2 linked regions of the Mus musculus genome follow. The protein of the gene in region 2 purifies or fractionates together with the protein of the main gene of each other region. This does not show direct contact. Links are inferred from orthologs where the notes say so. Each region holds a gene or a part of one and is shown on either strand. Other genes may lie near its edges.

Region 1 (5,281 bases), on a different chromosome or scaffold from region 2:
ACTTATCTATTTATTTATTTGAGACAGGGTTTCTCTGTGTAGCTCTGGCTATTCTGGAACTTACTCTATAGGCCAAGCTGGCCTTGAACTCTAGACCATGAGTGCTAGAATTCAAGGTGTATGCCACCACTGCCTGGCTTTTTGTTTGTTTTGTTTTTTTTTACTCTTTTTAGATTATTTTGAAAATTTTATTCATCTATTTATTATGTGTATGTCTACCTGAATGTATATTAGTGCCCACAGAGGCCAGAAGAAGGCATCAGATACCTTGGGGCTAGAGTTACACAAGTGGGTGCTGGGAATTGAACCAGGAGCCAGTGTTTTTAACCATTGAGCTGTCTCTCCAGTCCCCACTTTAAAACATTTTTAACCTATTATTATTATTGAACGTGTGTGTGTGTGTTTGTGCAGTCATAGGTGTGTGCACATAGTGTGCATGCCAGAGTACATGTGTGGAAGTTAGAGGACAACTTTGTGATCCAGTTCTCTCCTCACCCCTCAACATGGGTTCAGAGAGTCAGACGCAGGCCCCCAGGGTTGTGTGGCAAACACTGTGATTTACTGAGTCATCTTGTGGGCCCAAGGTTGTTCTTTAAAACATTCTAGAGGGTGAGGCTGAAGAGATGGCTCAGTGCTTAGTAGCACTGACTGATCTTCCAAAGGACTTGGGTTCAATTCCTAGCACCAATATGGTGGCTTCACAACCACCTGCAACTTCACTCAGTCCTAGAGATTTGGTGTCCTCTGTGGGCAGTGCACATACATAGTGACATACAAGCAGACAAAACATCCATATACATAAAAAATAAATACTATTGTTTAAGGAAAGACCGCATTGGAGGGGAGGAACGCAGTGAGCTGTAAGCCAGAGCAGCTGTTAACAGACACCCAGGGCCAGCGAGAGCTAGAGCGTTCTCTTAAGAAATACTTGAGATACACAAAGTGTGCTATCAAAGATTGTCTCTGACCTTTGTGCCTGTATGGATACGTGCACATGTGGAGCAGTGCCCTGGAAGCCAGAGTGATGGACTGCTCTAGAGCTGTAGTTACCAGGGTTATGAGTTGCCCCACACTGGTGCTGGGAACTGAACTTGGGACCTCTGCAAGAATAGAACACATTTCTAACTGCTGAGCCATTTCTCTAGCCCCAACATGAGGAAATGTTATATTAAATGAAGAAATATATAAGAAGGTTTAATATATTATAATAATATAGTCATATCAGTATTAAAAGGTTTTTGTATAACCTATATAAGTATACTAGCATTTAAAAATATCACCTATACATACATATATACACTTCACGCATATGTACACGTATGCATGACAGTATGTCGTGTAACATATGGTTGGTCTTGAACTTGCTTGTAGCCAGGATGCCTATAAGCAGGAGCCACTGCTGACAATGCTCTCCCTAGAAGTAAGACTTGGGTGGAATATTGTCTGCTTCTTTGAATGTTTTGCATGTTGAATTGGAATTATTCACATATGTGCATAGTTTTTACAGAAACAGAAATTATATATTCTATATGGAGTCAACTTGGATGAACAGAAAACAAACAAACATAATACAAGCAGGTACACAAACACACGTGGTGCACACGGCTGTAAGAACCCAGGACTCTAGGTTAACATCACCTAGTCTGCAATGGCAAAGTTATGGGAATTCCTGGCACTTTCTCTGTATTTTCTACAGCATGTTTGTCTCACTTGCATAGCACACAAATGCTCAGTTTCAGGATTGGAGTTATAGTAAACCCATGAACAATATGGATGTATCTTTAAACTATGAGGCTAAATGAAAAGTGATAGCAGAATACACATGGTTGATGCACTAATTGCAACACAAAGTTACATGTGGCAATGGCTGGACGTGAATATGGAAGATAAGTTACTGTTTAGAACAGAAGTATTAGGAGAAGTCATATTCCACCAAATTTTCCCACCATGGGAAGGTAAGTCTGTGGCATTAGAAACTCAGCTAAGATCATTTTCCTTGGCCTAATGCTCACATGTCATGTGCTGTTTACAGGTTCTCAGCGTAGACAAAAATCAATCAATACTCACCATAGTCAACAGGTCAACCATGATCAAGGTCTATGGCAGGCTCTAGATCAGGGGTTCTCAATTTGTGGGTCATGACCCCTTTGGGACTGAATGCCCCTTTCACAAGGGTCATCTAAGTGCATCGGAAAACACAGATATTCACATTATCATTCATAACAGTAGCCAAATTACAGTTATGAACGGAACTAATTTCATAGCTGCGGTCACTACAACTCGAGGGCCTGTTTAATACATTAACTGCGGTAAAGGGCCGCAGCATTAGGAAGGTTGCAAGGGTGGCTTCCTGATTAATGACTGCATTTTACAAGAGGCTCCATGCACTGGCTTTTTAATGGTAACAACAGTGATGACAGCTGTTCAGTGACTATCTGCTGTACCCTAGGCATTTTTTGAGTGAGGGGTGTTTGCCTCTTATCTTTTTGGGTGTCATATAGGCCAGGCTGGTCTCAAAGCTGGCAGCCAAAGTGGCACTGAACTCCTGACCTTCCTGCCTCCTCTTTCCCATGCTGGGAATGGCGATGTGTACCAGGGCAGCCGTAATGATCTTCACAAGCTCCAAAGCAGGTGGCACTGACACTTTACAGGTGCAGAGGGTACAGACACAAATGGTAAAGAAAAGCGCCTGACTTAAGTCTGTGCTGCTCTGACTCAATCTATATTCTACTGTTTCAGACCATGAATAACTACGTTTGGGTATAACTATGAGTAGACTTTTCCATCATATCTCCAAAACCTTCTAAGACACTGTTGTCTTGCTTCAGTGATGAAATAAAACAAAAGGATCAAAAGTTCTATTACTAGCGTGGTCTTGGTCCAAACTGGAGAATAATACACACACGAACACACACACACACACACACACACACACACACACACACACACACACACACATGCATGCACACCAGTGGCCTCCCACTCATGACTAACTGCAGTTAGCCTAGGTTAAAAACCTCAGGATTCAGGGTTAACAGGATGAAAGTGACGGCTGTACCAACGACGAGAGAACAAAGAAGGCTGAATGTGAAGTCAGTGCTGGGGAGTGGATTCACAGCAGCTGCAAACAGCTTGCTAGAGTAGCCTGCTTTGAAGGCAAGCCTGCATTTAGAACAGGCAGCCTTTGCAGGTCAAAGTGAGCAGGGCATAACCTGAGTCTGTGAGGATGATTTAGCTATCAACTGGCAACTCTTAGCAGTAAGAACAGGTGGGTGGTGGGACAGAATAAGTAGAGGGAGGCAGGCAGCAGAATGCTCACAGTATGCAGCAGGCCCTTGGCCCTCCTGAGTTACAATTACTGCTCAGGACAGTAATTATAGGCTAAGAAGCTTCTATATAACATCTGATAGAATCACACAAAAGGAAGTAAAGTGAACCACATCTGAGGCCCAATCTCAGTAAAGCAGGGTCTATTATGGTATGTATGTATTTTAGACAGGCTCTCACATAACCCAGGTTGCTCAAACTCCATATGGTAGCTGCCTCCATGGTGTGAGTGCTGAGACTGAAAGTGTGCACCACATCTGGCTTATGCAAGGCTGGGGATGAAAGCTAGGGAAGTATTCTCTGTGCACACTAGGGAAGTACTCCACCAACTGACTTATATCTCCAACTCATACTTGGATATTTCAGAACTCTCAAAAGCCTGAAAACTGAGTCCCAGTCTGCATTCCGAGGCTCCAGTGAGCATTCTGGAAGCACCTGGCAATGGTGCCCTGAGGATGGGAGGGCCCCAAGCACTACTCAGGAAGCGCAGTACCTGCCCCCTTAGTAGACTGCTGGCAATGGTGCCCTGAGAATGGGAGGGGGTCCCCAAGCACTACTCAGGAAGCGCAGTACCTGCCCCCTTAGTGGACTGCTGCTTCAGCTTTAGGCTCTTTGCGTGGGTCTTCCCCAGGTAGTGCGACTGTGCCACAGCAGGGGAGGAAAAGGTCATGTTACAGATGGGGCAGCAGTGGTTCTTGTCTTTGCTTCTGCTGCTCTTCTGGTTGGGAGAGAGAACACAGGTCTGATCATGCCAGTGCCCATCCAGAAAACCTCCAATGGTTCCCCACTGCCCATTGGCTGGTGGACATTTAAGACCACCTTCACATGTTACCCACAACATAACTGAAACATACCTTTACAGAGTCTTCTCCAGCTATTTCACGTCAGGCTCCATGCATAATTTCCCATTTTATTCTGTCACTTCCTCAATTTTCTTGGGTTATTCCTACTCTCTAGAATGTTCCTCCTTATTCCTGCCTGGCATTAATTAGGTCTGCTATCAGCCATTCAGTGACTTTTACCTTAAAAACATTGGTACACAATTACCAAGGCCTGTGCTGTGCTTATCCAGGAAGAGTTAAGGTTGTTCCTCACCTGTGTTCCCAGAGTGTATCAGACTACTATTACAGCCTTTGTCACCTGACGGACAGCATTACAGCTGAGGAGCCTTTTATGTGAGCTTAAGTGCAATGCTGGACGTGGATAACTTGACTCATTGTTTCCTACCCTTGTACCCTGCTGTGTCTAGCACACAGTAGATACCCAAGGCTCTTAGAAAAAACACGTCAGTGTGTTCTACTTGTTACTATAGTTATGCTAGAAAGTGTATTTCAAAAGAATGTCCGCTGAACAAGGTGTCTCTTCAACATTTTTCTGCCTTCACACTGCAGATGGTTTGGGCTTGGCGATTCCTAGCTGGTGGTGGGTGCTGTGATCTCACCTTAGCTACTCAGTCATCTAACTGAAGCAGAAAGGTGAAATGACCGTGCCCCTGTGGATCTAAACCATAAGGGCAAACAGGAGGTGATTTCTGAAAGGGGCACGCAAGGCCCCTTTAAACCACTGGCCACTGTAACAGGAACCAGCAGTCTGGAGAGCAATCTCGTAGTTACTGACCATTTCCTGGGTACTGAAGTTTTACCTCACAACATGAGCAAGCTATGAGTGACTTCCCGAGAGATAAGGTGACTTGCTCAAGGTTTCCTATCTAATACGTTAAGGAGCCTTGCCCACCGACTTTCTCACCATGTTGTGCAGAATGCCCACACTCTGAAAGGCACAGCACACTTAGGAACTGGGGCTGGCTTCTCTGTAATTCTTACAGCAACTCTAAGATAAAGTAAGTGTACTGCGTTGTGTCAGAGAAGGCATTTATTGTCCTCATTTGTCAAGTAAATGCTGAACTTCGTTTTTCTCCACAGTTCAAGAACAGCAGTGTCCCTTTACTCTGTCC
Region 2 (5,043 bases):
AACGACGATCGATCTTTTCTTTAAGCTCAGAAAAACTTGCATGCTTTGTGGGCTGTGTGACAATCCAGAACAGGAGCATAGCCAGTACTGATTTGGCCTGGATGGTTCAGGATAATCACCTGAGCAGTGAAGCCAGCTGCTTCCATTGGTGGGTCGTTTTTGCTGTCACCAGCAACAATGCCTCTCTAACATCTTTGACCGACACGTTCTTTACATTGAAGCCCACATTGTCCCCAGGAAGAGCTTCACTCAATGCTTCATGGTGCATTTCAACAGACTTGATTTCAGTTGTTACATTGACTGGAGCAAAGGTAACCACCATGCCAGGTTTGAGAACACCAGTCTCCACTCGGCCCACAGGGACAGTGCCAATGCCTCCAATTTTATAGACATCCTGGAGGGGCAGTCGCAGAGGCTTGTCAGTTGGACAAGTTGGTGGTAGGATACAATCCAAAGCTTCCAGCAGAGTGGTGCCACTGGCACTGCCATCTTTGCAGGTGACTTTCCATCCCTTGAACCAAGGCATATTAGCACTTGGCTCCAGCATGTTGTCACCATTCCAAACCAGAAATTGGCACAAATGCTACTGGGTCAGGGTTGTAGCCAATTTTCTTAATGCAGGTGCTGACTTCCTTAACGATCTCCTCACATCTCTTCTGACTGTATGGTGGCTCGGTAGAATCCATTTTGTTGACACCAACAATCAGCTGTTTCACACCCAGGGTGTAAGCCAGAAGAGCATGCTCGTGGGTCTGCCCATTCTTGGAGATACCAGCTTCAAATTCACCAACACCAGCAGCAACAATCGGGACAGCACAGTCAGCCTGGGATGTGCCTGTAGTCATGTTTTTGATGAAGTCTCTGTGTCCTGGGGCATCAATGATGGTCACGTAGTATTCGCTGGTCTCGAATTTCCACAGGGAGATAGATGTCAATAGTGATACCACACTCACGCTCAGCTTTCAGTTTGTCTAAGACCCAGGCGTACTTGAAGGAGCCCTTTCCCATCTCAGCAGCCTCCTTCTCAAACTTTTCGATTGTTCGCTTGTCGATTCCATCACATTTGTAGATCAGGTGGCCGGTTGTGGTGGACTTGCCGGAGACGATGTTGATGTGAGTCTTTTCCTTCCCCATTTTTGCTTTAAATTAGCGGTGGCTTTCCCAACACCTGCGTTCTGATGGCAAACCCCTTGCGTAAAAGCTTGTCCTACTTACTGAGATTCCAAAAATCGGGGAGGGGATCTTTAAAAATGATTTTGTTTTGTATGCTCTGGAATGTTCTATCAACTTGTGAATGGTTTCCTTCCATAAACATTTAAAAAATATTTTTCTCTTAACATGCTGTTAATATACTGTTACTACATCTAGCTTCAGTTCATTCTCCAATAAGTAAATAGCATTTCAAATTCATTCTCCCTTTGAAGGCATTATGGGTGCTTCTTGTTGACATGACTTCTGTAAACAGTATGTTAGCTACTTTTCTTGTCACTAAAAGCCCAACAGATGCAACTTAAGAGAGGAGAGATTTATTTACTTATTTATTTATCTATTTAGACTCAATTTCAGATGATACAATCCTTCATGACAGGGAAGATTTGGCAGAAGCCTCGGTTGACAGTGGAGGAGTGTGTCCAAGTCTCTGTTGGCTCATGGCCATCTCATAATGCAAAATGCTTTCAGTCCCACCTCAGAAATTCCCATAATCTTAATACTCAACTCCATGCAAAGGTCCAAAGTGCTTTGAGAAGCAGCGAGAAACTCTTAGCTGTGAGGCCCTATAAAACAACTATTACAGCATACAAAGGCACAAAGTAACTACCAATATTCTACAAAGCAAGTCTGAAAGAACAACAAGGAAAGACTGGACCTCTACAAGGCTAACTCCAAGCAGGGCCTCTCAGGAGACTTTTGAGCTACCACAGTAAGTTTGACGTATACCATTTGAGGACTTCTCTAACCTGGGGCTTCAAACTTTTTCACATTCCTCCCACAAACCAGTCCTGAAAGCCCAACAGTAGGTTTATTGCAATATAACTCTACTTCCTGTACCATTTTATTACTATTCTTTTCTTTTTTCTTTTTCTTTTTTTTTTAATTGGATATTTTCTTTATTTACATTTCAAATGTTACCCCCTTTCCTAGTTTCCACCCCTCCCAGAAATCCCCATATCCTTCCTTACTCCCCCTGCTTCTATGAGGGTGTTCCTCCAACCCACCTATCTGCCCTTGATTCCCCTATACTGGGGCATCTATCGCACCTTCATAGGACCAAGGACCTCTCCTCCTTTTGATACATGACAAGGCCATCCTCTGCTACATATGCAGCTGGAGCCATGTGTACTCCTTGGTTGATGGCTTAGTCACTGGGAGCTCTGGGGGGTCTGCTTGGTTGATATTGTTGTTCTTATGGGGTTGCAAACCCCTTCAACTCCTTCAGTCCTTTCTCTAACTCCTCTATTGGGGACCCCACACTCAGTCCAGTGGTTGGCTGTGAGCATCAGTCTCTGTATTGTAAGGCTCTGGCAGGACCTCTCAGGAGACAGCCATATCAGGCTCCTGTCAGCATGAATGTCTTGGCATCCACAATAGTGTCTGGGTTTGGTAACTGTGTATGGGATGAATTCCCAGTCTCTGTATATGGGACAGTCTCTGGATGGCCTTTCCTTCAGTCTCTGCTCTACACTCTATCTCCATATTTGCTCCTGTGAGTACTTTGTTCCCCTTCTAAGAGGGACCAAAGCACCCACACTTTGGTCTTCCTTCTTCTTGAGCTTCATGTAGTCTGTGAATTGTATCTTGGTTATTTGGAGCTTTTGGGCTAATATCCACTTATCAGTGAGTGCATATCATGTGTGTTCTTTTGCGATTGGGTTACCTCACTCAAGATGATATCCTCCAGATCCATCCATTTGTCTAAGAATTTCATGAATTCATTTTTAATAGCTGAGTAGTACTCCATTGTGTAAATGTGCCACATTTTCTGTATCCATTCCTCTGCTGAGGGACATCTGGGTTCTTTCCAGCTCCTGGCTATTATAAATAAGGCTACTATGAACATAGTGGCGCATGTGTCCATATTACATGTTGGACCATCTTCTGGGTATATGACCAGTAGTGGTATTGTTGGGTCCTCAGGTAGTACTGTGTTTCTGAGGAACCTCCAGTCTGATTTCCAGGGTGGTTGTACCAGCTTGCAATCCTACCAGCAGTGGAGAAGTGTTCTTCTTTCTGCACATCTTTGCCAGCATCTCATTACTTTTCTCATCACAATCACTACCTGAGAGAAGCCACTCAAGGGCAGAGGGTTAATTTGGACCCCCACATTCAGAGGCAACAGTTCACATGACAGACAAGGCATGAATGGCAGAGGGTTCAGAGTGGGATCAGAACACAATGCATGTATGGAATTGTCAAAAAAATAACTTTGTAAGATTGCTTTTGAAGTAACAGGAAAAAAAAAACCCTATTGCAGAGTTTTTAGCAGTCCTGCTTGGTGTTTAATGATAAAGACACTGAGACATCTATATAGCATAAGGAAGGTTGTTGGCCTGTTTTCTGGGACAGTCTCTCAGGTAGCCCAGCTAACTTAAGCCATTTTGTCTCTCCATGTGGTCTCTCTCTCTTTCTTTCTCTCTCTCTCTCTCCCTCCCTCCCTTCCTCCCTCCCTCCTCCATTCTAGTCCATGTCTTTGTGTCTCTGTCTGTCTGTCTGTCTGTCTGTCTGTCTGTCTGTCTGTCTGCAGGACCTTCTGCCCCAGCTCTGACTACCAGCTCTTTTTTATGCCAAAAGCCAGAGTCCTTCCTCATCCAGTTGGCTTTGGGGGCTCTGTGACTTCCCACACAGGAGCCTGCCTTTCTCTTTGGGCAGACGAGAAACAAGCATTTACATATTTGGCTAGCTAGCCAGCCACAGGCCCAGCAATTAACAATTGAGGAAATGGGCATACTTTTTCATAGCCTAATAAATACAATGTCTGTGGGTCACCCTAACCAAAACCTGTCTGGGAGAGTGGTATTAAGAAAAGAAGGATAATATTCACTGATACTCCCCTCAGACTGCAGATCGTTAAAGGAAAACCACGGCAGAGGAATGTTTTCTCAGAAAGGCCCTAACATGTGTTTCTTTTCTTTTTCTCTGAGATGTTCCTCCATTCAGCCAAGGTCTTCAGGATTTCAGATGTCTCAGGTCGGTCCTTGGGTTTCTCTGAGAGTAGTTTTTTTAGAAGGCTTTTCTGTTAATGATAGGTAAGAGTCAGTATTGGGAAAGAAAATAGTGGAAAAAAAAATCAACCTGATAGCTTTCAAGGACTTACTTCTTTGTTGTCGAATATATCATTAGAGAAGTCGCCTTTTCTTAGACTTTCGAAAAACTGAAATACCACAAATAGATGTATTTACTAGGCAGTGATTGACATGGGAAGAAAAACTAAACACAATAATACCTGGAGACACACTAAATCTAGAAGATTTCTAAAATGTAGGGTGGACTCTCTAGTCTAAGAAGCAAGCAAAACGCCCTCCCCAAGCCTACCCCAATCGTATGACCATCCTTAACATTCAATGCTTTGACGAGATAGATTGGTGCACAAGACTCATCATTTCCCTCTGTTTGGAATGCTAGGCAGTACATCCCGCCATCACGCCTATTTTAGGGAAGATAAGGCTCTGCACTCCAGGCAAGCCTTTTTTTCCTGAGCTTCCAACTAGGATGCCCAATAGCCTGCTGTCTCCAGTGATTCCCCACCACCCACACGACAAAGCCCACACCCTTTCCAGCCCCACCAGTCACCAGCTTCAGATAAAACCATACCCAACCTGTCAGCCCCAGCACTCACTGCACATTCTTATCTCTATGCAAGGTTGCATGCTTTTTATTTCAAACCATTAGAGTGAGCTAGCTCGGGTTAGTTGTCTTCTGACTGCCATGAGCATACCAGAGCACATGTATACATGCACGTGTGTGTGCGTGCGTGCACGTGTGTATGGGTATGTGTGTGTGTATTTGTATGTGTATGTATGCCCTTAAATAATCCCCCCCCAAAAA

The links. Proteins that work in one complex are often made in the same cells at the same time.
Region 1: the proteins of Eif2ak2 (region 2) and Zfp346 purify together in Homo sapiens (affinity purification with mass spectrometry; 3 studies listed by BioGRID and IntAct, with this or other methods). This does not show direct contact. The link is inferred for Mus musculus from reciprocal best matches to the Homo sapiens genes EIF2AK2 and ZNF346.

The regions. Positions count from the first base shown.
Region 1 is NC_000079.6:55,114,244-55,119,524, reverse strand, and holds part of Zfp346 (zinc finger protein 346), read right to left. Parts: intron 4,046-5,281; coding exon 3,901-4,045; intron 1-3,900.
Region 2 is NC_000083.6:78,851,031-78,856,073, forward strand, and holds the end of Eif2ak2 (interferon-induced, double-stranded RNA-activated protein kinase), read right to left. Parts: intron 4,370-5,043; coding exon 4,313-4,369; intron 4,232-4,312; coding exon 4,109-4,231; 3' UTR 1,520-4,108; downstream 1-1,519.